Bombyx mori: one gene and its partner. Each later gene encodes a partner of the first gene's protein in a complex. Links are inferred from orthologs where the notes say so. Each region holds a gene or a part of one and is shown in the gene's direction. Other genes may lie near its edges.

Evidence for each region. The genes of interacting proteins can lie anywhere in the genome.
Region 2: MICOS complex subunit Mic60 (region 1) and MICOS complex subunit MIC13 homolog QIL1 share a complex: the UniProt entries of both Drosophila melanogaster proteins name them as parts of the mitochondrial contact site and cristae organizing system (MICOS) complex. The link is inferred for Bombyx mori from reciprocal best matches to the Drosophila melanogaster genes Mitofilin and QIL1.

What each region holds. Positions count from the first base shown.
Region 1 is NC_085132.1:11,511,754-11,517,650, reverse strand, and holds the start of MICOS complex subunit Mic60, read left to right. Parts: upstream 1-1,966; 5' UTR 1,967-2,079; coding exon 2,080-2,124; intron 2,125-3,460; coding exon 3,461-3,624; intron 3,625-4,152; coding exon 4,153-4,309; intron 4,310-4,624; coding exon 4,625-4,715; intron 4,716-5,116; coding exon 5,117-5,188; intron 5,189-5,351; coding exon 5,352-5,521; intron 5,522-5,588; coding exon 5,589-5,715; intron 5,716-5,805; coding exon 5,806-5,897. Other genes in the region: large ribosomal subunit protein bL35m, read right to left, coding at 420-928, 1,065-1,086. UniProt on the Drosophila melanogaster protein: Component of the MICOS complex, a large protein complex of the mitochondrial inner membrane that plays crucial roles in the maintenance of crista junctions, inner membrane architecture, and formation of contact sites to the outer membrane.
Region 2 is NC_085115.1:12,273,235-12,276,977, reverse strand, and holds MICOS complex subunit MIC13 homolog QIL1, read left to right. Parts: upstream 1-1,371; 5' UTR 1,372-1,515; coding exon 1,516-1,523; intron 1,524-1,613; coding exon 1,614-1,770; intron 1,771-1,849; coding exon 1,850-2,038; 3' UTR 2,039-2,148; downstream 2,149-3,743. Other genes in the region: proliferation-associated protein 2G4, read right to left, coding at 2,748-2,837, 3,334-3,480. UniProt on the Drosophila melanogaster protein: Component of the MICOS complex, a large protein complex of the mitochondrial inner membrane that plays crucial roles in the maintenance of crista junctions, inner membrane architecture, and formation of contact sites to the outer membrane.

The sequences.
Region 1 (5,897 bases):
AACGAGGGTGTATGTGACTAACAGCTGGCAGTACTTTTTTTACTTCCTAAAAGACAAACACAAACCAGATGACAAGGAACAAATTGCCCGTTCTCATATGTACATAAAATAGACAACAACTAACCGAACGTTCACACACTTTTGGATGATATATGTATATAGCTATAGCTCTAATAAGCACAATTTGACCACAATAATGACTAAACAGACAGACTAAATTTATACATCTAAAGCATTCATCATCATCAAACTTTAGATATCCACTGCTTGATATAGGCCTGTTGCATGGTTCAACACAATGACATGTTCTGTGCCTATTTCGACCATCTGATTTCAATAACCTTCAACAGGAGAAATGTAAAAGTACTAAATAAGTTCCAAGCTAAATTTAATTATGATCTACTGATAACTAAATAGCATTATTTCTGTATAGGTTGTTTTCTTGTGAAGTGAAATTCTTCACGGGTGTGATATGGAGCATAAGGGTCTTCTACATAATGCTTAGGTCTCTTCCAGTATTTCGTCACCATTTTATCAAGTAAAGTGTTTTGTGTAGAGTTACAGAACACATGTTGCCTTAGCCTCCTTTTATTTGCAGATGATTTCTTCCATAATTTCTTGTGCCTTCCAATTTTAGTCCGAATCCAGCCACCCCAGTGCAGTCTAAAAAATCGCTTGATAACAGCCTTTACTGTTTTCCTTTTGCCTTTTTTTAAACTAAACTTTATAACCGATCTTGTTGGGGTAAAATCAATTTTCATTAAAATGTCCAATATTTGTTTGTTGGCTAGAAGTGAATTTTGAGGTAACAAGGATCTAGGTTGTATCTCTATATTCTTAAAGGCTGAGAAATGTCTGACATCTTTAGTAGTAAGCGTAATTGCATTGTGTAAGGGCGAAGCCGGAAGACATCGAGCATAGCGAACAGCTGAAAAATAAAAAAAATATTCATATGAAAAAGGAACACAATCTACTTAGACAGTAGAATACGGAGGAAATTAAGTAAATTCAAAGTTAATAATTTTATGGTAGTGAAATAGAGTTATTTATATACTATTCCTTACCAGTACTTAAAAAACGCAGCATTTTTACAAAAATGTTATAGTTCAAACATATTTTATGCAAAATTAAACTAACCACAACCTTTTGGGTTTAGAAAATAGAAATTAATGTGATAAAGTGGTTAGGTTCTTACATTCTTCCATACCGATAAATTAAGCAAATAAAACATAGCCAATACAGCCAAGTCTTTGAAAAAAAAATGTTTTTGCTAGAGATGTACACGAAAAATAAATGAACAACGAAAAAATATAAATTAATTAATATGAAATTGATTATGGACTAAACTAAAATAAAACAGGTATAAAAAAGAATCAACCGCTGAATAACTTAATTTTATCTTCTTGAAATTGTAGGAATTTATTGAAAGTTCGATAGGCTTTTTGAAAGAGCCAGAGAAATCACGTCTAACAGTTTTATTTCCTTTTCCTTCACGCATATTAACAGGTGCTAAACGGTTAATAAGCCTAGAACATTACACGCTAAACTTGAAGAAACAGTAAATGAATAAATATAGTATTGTACCGCAATCCTGTTTATTTCTGTAGCAAACCAGTGACATGTTCCGGCTGAAAGGGTAGGATAGTCGATATACAATACTGTTAAGACCACGATCTCATGTTACAAGGTGTGTGACGACAATGACTTTGCGACGTCTATGGACTCTTGTAACAACTTAATAGCAAGTGGAATAAAAAAAGTTAACATCTTACCGTTATCCTTAAGAAATATTTTTATTTTTGGTTTACATTACAGTGCCTAAATAGAGTTATTTGCAGTATCAAATACTCGAAATACTCCTGAAGAAATAGCAAAACTCATTAAATACAAACCAAATTTTCCCAATGGTAAAATGGCCCCCTATTTTTTTTTTTTTTTACTTTATGGTCAATGGATAGGTACAGTGGAAATAAAATTGATAATTTTAGTCATAGACAATATCTACCGTATTTATTTTAGTCCATAGATATTTATTTTAGTCTCTAAAAATTTGACGGCCCAAGTGGAGAGATTCCGAAAATGTACAAATTTACGAATCATTTATCGAATGCTAAATTAGTTTTGGTGAGTACATAAAATTTTGGACAATTTTTAAATGTTTTATTTTAATACTTTTTTCTATACTTAGTACATTATGAACATTTGTGTTTCCAAACAACGATTTTTCTCAGTGTTTTGATGTTTTACGATCTCTCCGGCAAGATATAAACATTATTATCTCCCTGTTATAGTAAAACCGATTGTATGGCCAGCCCTCATTGGAATAACAAACCAGACCTTGAAGTTGTTGTGCCTTACATAATACTTTTGATGTCATATTTCCTAAATGTAACCTATATGACTAAGGCTGTATGCACAACACACACGCACTGATATCATAGCAGATTAAGCGAGTCCAACAAAAAGTTATACAAATTGTTTACATAGAAACAAATTTCACAAAATGCAATAGAAATTGTTTTAAATTAGATTACAATTGAAAAAAAAAATAGGTTAATTATTTTGAAGTTAAATATAAATTATTAACATCAAAGTTGAAATACAACGCTAAAGTAATGAAAGCTAATTTGCGGATGTCCCATACAATAGAAAGTGAGTATTTGATTGAGAAGATGTTTTGAAAAATCGTTCTTTGTTTGTAGTGCATTGTGTGGTAAATTATATCAGATGATTCATTGATCCTGAGCCTTTCCAAAAAATGTATCGAATATGGTCATGCGCAAAGTGTGAACAGACAGTATCCTATGTCAAAAAGGGAATAAACGGCTGAAACTAAAGGGGAAAATAATAGTCCTTTTATTAACTGAATATATATTCATAGCATAACTAAGTTTATTATTGTGAGAAACATAACGGTTGTGTGCCTTTGACCTAGATTAGTACCACCCTATCTTTTGTCATCTTATTTTATCATTGTTCTCTGAGCTCAGAATTACACCAGCATACTGCAATTGCCAACTGGCATTTATAGGGTATATATATATATATATATATATATATATATATATATATATATGTATACCTATAACCTATAATATATTATAGTAGGGTATATTATAAAACTGTATGAGTAGGTGCAATCATCCTGCCTATTTTTGTTGCGAAGTGGTCATGCACTCTGGTTTGGAATACAGTTGATTTGGCTTTGGTTCAGGACAGGATTCACATTGTGTTGTCTACAGGATTAAGTGAGCACTTAACAATAGGTGGGCCATGGGCTTGTTGACCCGTCAACAATATAAATCTTAACATGGTATGTCTTGGTTTTGAAACACAAATACTAGGGAAAGTTGTTTATGACATTAAACATGTCCTTTTTATTAAAGTAATATTCATGGACCAAAATAAATATAAAAGGTAAGTAATATGTATAACAACTAACATTAGATATATGATTTAGGTAAGAAGACACATTGATGGGTCCTCAGCAGCACTGATAGTACTTCGTCAAAACTCATACTCCCAGGATCATGGTACACGACAGCAACCCCGCAAGTCACGCAAGCTCTTCTGGAGCACTGTCGGAGCGACTGTACTTACTGGAGCTGCTGTTGTTTATGCCAAGTTAGTTTTTACTAGGTTTGATGGAACTAAGGTCTCAAACCATTTAACATAATAAGGAAAAATTATAGAAGATATTTCTTCTTTTTCATACACTTTATTTCATTTTTCAGCTGCTGTAGTGTGTGATTCCTCGTATCTCAAATCTGGCTCTAATCTCAAAGCAAAATATCCGTATAGTCCGTAATATCAGTAAGGTTACAACGGCTGCCCCACCCTTCAAACCGAAACGCATTACTGCTTCACGGCAGAAACAGGCAGGGTGGTGGTACCTACTCGTGCGGACTCACAAGAGGTTCTACCACCAGTAATTACGCAAACTAATTTTGCGGATTTGATTTTTATTACATGATATTATTCCTTCACCATGGATCAATCGTGAATATTTGTTAAGTACGTATTTCATTAGAAAAATTGGTACCCGCCTGGGGGATTCGAACACAGGTGCATCGCTAGATACGAATGCACCGGACGTCTTATCCTTTAGGCTACGACACTTGTATATATTTAAATTGTTAAAATTGATTGCAGACACAGTCCAGAGGCCCGAAACTGGTTAGAGTCAAATGTCCCTTGGGCCAATGACCTGGTAGCTCTCGTTTACCAGGAGAAGTCTTCACCGTGGAAGTTTACAGTGGACCGTTTCAACCAGGCCACCACGTCAATCAGCCACTTTGTGTTTGGAAAGGTTACCTTAACACTACCTATATATGTAAATATAAAAGTCTGTCGGCAAGTGGCGGCTGAGTACTTTCAAGGAATCTGTGAAATTCAATAGGGATGCTCACAGCAGGGCGTAACCGGGTTTCACTACTTGTTACAGTTATGTCAAAATGAGGATGGTTTTACAAAATAATTTCAAATTAATTTAAGTATTAACCAATTAAAAAGATATTGATTATGATTGGGAGTAAGACGGATCAAGTCTGCAGCTCTAGCCTAGCTAATAAAAATTTACGTCACATCGACATAAATTATTATTAAACATCATAAATAATTACAGGAAGGTGTTACGCCATTAGAGATAAAGTCGAGGTCACAGCAGGACATAGATGCAGATGCAGCAAAGAAGGCAACCAGCAAAGACTTCCAATGTATGTACTGTACTCATATATTTTTTTATTAATTACAATTAGTATGACAATTATTATTAATAAAATAATGATCATATGTGCATATAATTACTAAATCTATCCTAATAATCTTTAATACCTCATACAGAAAATAGAAAAGTACCTTGCTTGACATTCAGGAGAAACATTGTTTGTATTTTATTTCATTGTATTTCATTTCATTTGTTTTGTTTGTTTTTCAACACATTGCTATCCAGTCCAGTCAAGTGGCTCAGCCAGCACGACTCCTTAAGTTGTTTGATAAGACTTATTGATTCCAAACCTGTAAATAAAAGTACTTTAATTCAGCCAGCCACTGAACTATCTGTGAAGCAAATCATTTTTAATAAACGTTATGAACTTGTATTCCGTGTGACTAACAGTGCCTCCGCCCTCCCTTGAGCCCCTCTACGTGGAGGAGAAGAAGCTTGGAACACCGGATGTAGACACACCAGGTAGGTCGATAGGCTACCTGATTGTCTCAATATTAATATTGCATCCTACATAAACTATTTAAACATAATTAACAAAAAACAATAAAAAAACAAATAAATCCCATCTAATCTCTTAATATTTGAAAACGTACATATGTAAGTAAAAGTTGAACGTGTTGCGCAGCTACGGTGGTGCAGACGGAGCGCTGCGAGCCCGCGCGCGCCCCGGCCGCCGCCGTGCCCGCCGAGCTGGTGCAGCTGGAGCGCGACATGATGGACAACACCAAGCTGGCCCTCGACAGCTACAAGCGCGCCTCCCAGCACTGCAAGCGCTACAACGACGCGCTCTACAAGGTGGGCGCCCCCGCCGCGCCGCCCCCCAACCCCCCGCACAGCCCCTGTACTCTGGCGTCGTTCGCAGATAGTGGAGTCCACCGTGGAGGAGCTGGACAAGAGGCACTTCTCGGCGCTGCAGGGCGCGCAGAGCGAGCGGGACGCGGCGCACGAGCAGGCCGCGGAGGCCGCCGCTCGCGCCAAGAGCGCCATCCGTCAGTACACTCCGCCCCGCCCTCTAGTGATACTAACATTTTCACATATTATTGCATCATTAGATTGATATCCGCATGCACTGCTTGCAGAGCGGGTGGAGAGCGCGCTGGAGGCCGGGGCGCCGGTGCCGCCGCCCGCGGCCGCCGCCACCCGGCGCCACGCCGCCGCCTTCGGGGAGCAG
Region 2 (3,743 bases), on another chromosome or scaffold:
TGTCACATGTTTAATGTAAAATAATTGAAACAAGTTTATTCATTATGTAACCATTCATATACCAAAATGAACTTAACAAAACATAGATTCTTATGACACTAAAGTTTATTCAAAATGACCTCCGTGATTTTGAATACAGGCCTTCAACTGCGCGGCCAGTCGTCTATCGCAGCACGAACGAGGTCCATGTCAATATCGGCGGCTGCCTTAATCAAGGATGTCTTGAGTGACTCCAAATTGGGATGAGGCTTTGAGCACGCCTTTTCCTCCAAGTGTTGCCATATCTTGTAATCTAACGGATTCAAATCTGGACTGGAGGAGGGCCAGTCTTCGTGCCGGATGAAGTCGATTTCACGCGCCGCCAGCCAGTCTTGTGTGCTCTTCGCTCTATGAGCTGGCGCCGAATCTTTTTGGAATACCCAGTGCCTGTTATTGAACATGGTATGAGAAACAGGTTCCACAAGGTTCGTCAGGATTGTATTTTGATACACAACTGCATTCGTTTTTACACCTTTCTCACAAAAATGTACCTCTGTTAAGCCCCAATAAGAAACTCCCAACCATACCATGAGCGAGGATGGAAAATGACCTCGTTGGACACGTGAAATACGGTTGCTCGCTTCTTCACTACGGTGTGCGTACACCTTATCATTTTGTTTGTTGTAGCTCTCTTCTACGGTAAAAATTTTTTCATCCGAAAAAAGAATTTCCCGATATTTTTTTCCCGCGTACCGCTTCAACAAAGCGCGGCATCTCTTCAGTCTCAGGTCCATTAGACGAGCATTCAAACGATGTCCTGTTTTTCTTCGATATGCCCGAAGCCCTAAGTCTTCATTTAACACCCTTTTCACCGTGGTTCTGCTTAACCCCATCTGAAGGGCCAACAGTTTCTGCTTACGTTTGGGATTTCTTTGAATTCGCGCCTTCACAGCTTTTATCACTGCTGGAGTCCTAACAGACCGAGGGCGACCACTTCTTGACCTGTCATCTACACTAGAGTCTTCATTGTATCGTTTGATGGTACGATAAACGAATCTTTTGGTTATATTCAAATTTTTCAGTATGTTAAAAATTTGAATTGGCGCGTAACCGCAACGATGCAACGCAATAACTGCAACACGGTCTTCTTTAAGCGTCCACTCCATATTTAAAAATGAGTAAAATTCTAAAAGTATACATTTTTATTTTCATGAACAGTTCGAAATTCGAATTCAATAAACTTTTTTGTGGCCAGCATTCTAAAAGAAAAGTTTTTACTGTGTGACAATACTTATGACCTGACTAGTTATATATATATTATACCTTCACCCTTAATAAAGAAAATTTTTCTATGTGCCTATCCCATTGCCTGTTCGATAACTGAAAAAAGGTATTGTCAACATTCAACAAATTCGAATGTCATTTTGAAATACTGGGGTAGACATAGCTACTATGGTTCACAATTTTTCTCGAAAATTTGAATTACATAATTTGCCAAAAAACTAATTAACACTTGATATTCACATTTGCTTCACGATGTTAAAGTAAGTTTAAATATTGGTTTATTGTTCCGACCGCAATAGAACTGTCAAAATATTGTACAAAACATATTCTAATTTGAACTGTGTATGTAGGTTTGGCGTGAAATCTGCGTTACTTGGATCCGCAGTGTACTACACAATAGACAAAGGTGTGTGGAAAGATAGTGCTACGACAGCGGCGATATATGATGAACTTGAAAAAGGAATGTCACCATATGTCGGGGAACTAAAGAGCCAAGTTCCATACGAAGTATGTTCTTAACTCAATTAACTACCTACTTTTAATTTCTTTTGCGGTTATGTTAATTCCAATGTTTATTTAATTACAGCTACCAGCATTACCTTCTAATGACAGGATATCATATTTGTTCAAGTACTACTGGAATTGCGGTGTCAAAGCTACATTTAGATTTTTAGTCGAATTGCCTACCCATACTAGTAATGCAGCTTTCAAGACATACGACTTTATTTCATCATCTTTGGAAACTCCAGAACCACATCAAGAAAAAGATAAATGAAGACTTAGTCAATAATTGTAATTTATTAAATACTTTAAATGTATAATTGACATTTCATCAGATGAATTTAGAGCTGGTGGTAATAAGAAATAAAATGCAACTTTACAAAACAGGCCACAGCTGTGGCAATTTGATTTATTAATTTTCTTGCAGTGTCAATATTTTATAATTTTCTATAACATTCATGCATGTTGAACACAATTTTGTGAAAAATAATAATACACACTGTTTATTTTAACATACAAAATCACATTCCAGTTTAAAAAATGAAACATTCAAATTATTAACTTCGCAAAGGGAAGTATTTGTGCACAACTATATCAGTTCAGGAATGATTAATTTGATTATAATCAAATTTTACCATAAAACGTATTTGCATGTACACAAAAATAACTGCATATTTATTTACCTACAAAATGGCTACATAAAGTAATTAGTACACACTTATGTGAAAGAAATTGGACACTAAAGTTGAAAAGCTATTATGCTATAAAATGTATTCTATAAATGAAGGCATTCTGGTGTCTAAGCCAAGATCAGAGAAGATCTTGGGTTTGTTTGTAGGTACAAAGCTAGATATTTATTCACATAACTATAAGTCAAGATGTGGTTGTCTCAGTAAAAAATTGCACAATTTTTGTTATTTTTGTCCATTTATATTGTGGAAAAATGTTAATATCATTTATTCCTGGGCACTTATGTATTTTTGCTAGGCAGCAGTCTCCACTTCCATGGGCTCTTCAGCTCCTGTTTTCTTTTTCTTCTTCTTGTTAGATTTTGCTGATGAATTTAGAAGGGCCTGTTTGTTAGAACAGAAAAACAATTTATTAGACTATCATCACCTTCATAGCGATTTAAAAAAAAAAAATGATTTCACAGAATGTTGTAATAGTTCAAACTGAAATGTAAAACAAAAACAAGTCAGCTCAAAAAGATTACAAATACTTTACCCTGAGCTTGTTCAAAACACACAATGTGATATGTTATGAAAGATAGCAGGGATAATATGTTTTCTACTTTTATCATGTTGGGTCTTAATCTTGTCTAGAATCAAGTTACAGCTGTTTTTCTGAATTAAAAATAAAATAATGGTAGGTGCTTTATAGAAATTGATGTTAGATGATTAAAAAATGATACATAGCTTTAATATAGACCTTTGTTTTCTATAACAGAATTTAAAAAAAAAACTAAGCCCTTACATGTACCATTCTGTAGATAGCACCCTGATCTGGTCTTAGTTACTGTTCACATTACAATATTTCAATAAACAGATAATAATAGTAAACAATACTGACATTAAGTTCTGGATCCTTGATGCTGCGTTCACTCTTACATTGGCTTTTATCAAAAGGCAAGCCAGTAATACGATGTGTGCCACTAGGAAGCAGAAGAGCCGTGAACTTAAACTGTGCCACCAATTCTCCTGGACGCTCATAGAGAACCTGAATAACAATTTTAATAAGTCAGGTCAGGTTCATAGTATTATAATTAATTTTTATTTTATTTTGGCTTTAGGCAAACTCACACCCAATATGGTGGTTACTGGAGTTGATCTTTACATTAATAAATCAGTCAGTCACTTGAACACACACAGTTGAAAGACTATATTGTTCTGCTACATCAAATATCTTACCTTTGGACCTGAATGCATAGCGTCTTTGCACCAGAAATAGGCCTAATGCTCATATCTATTCATGTCCGTATT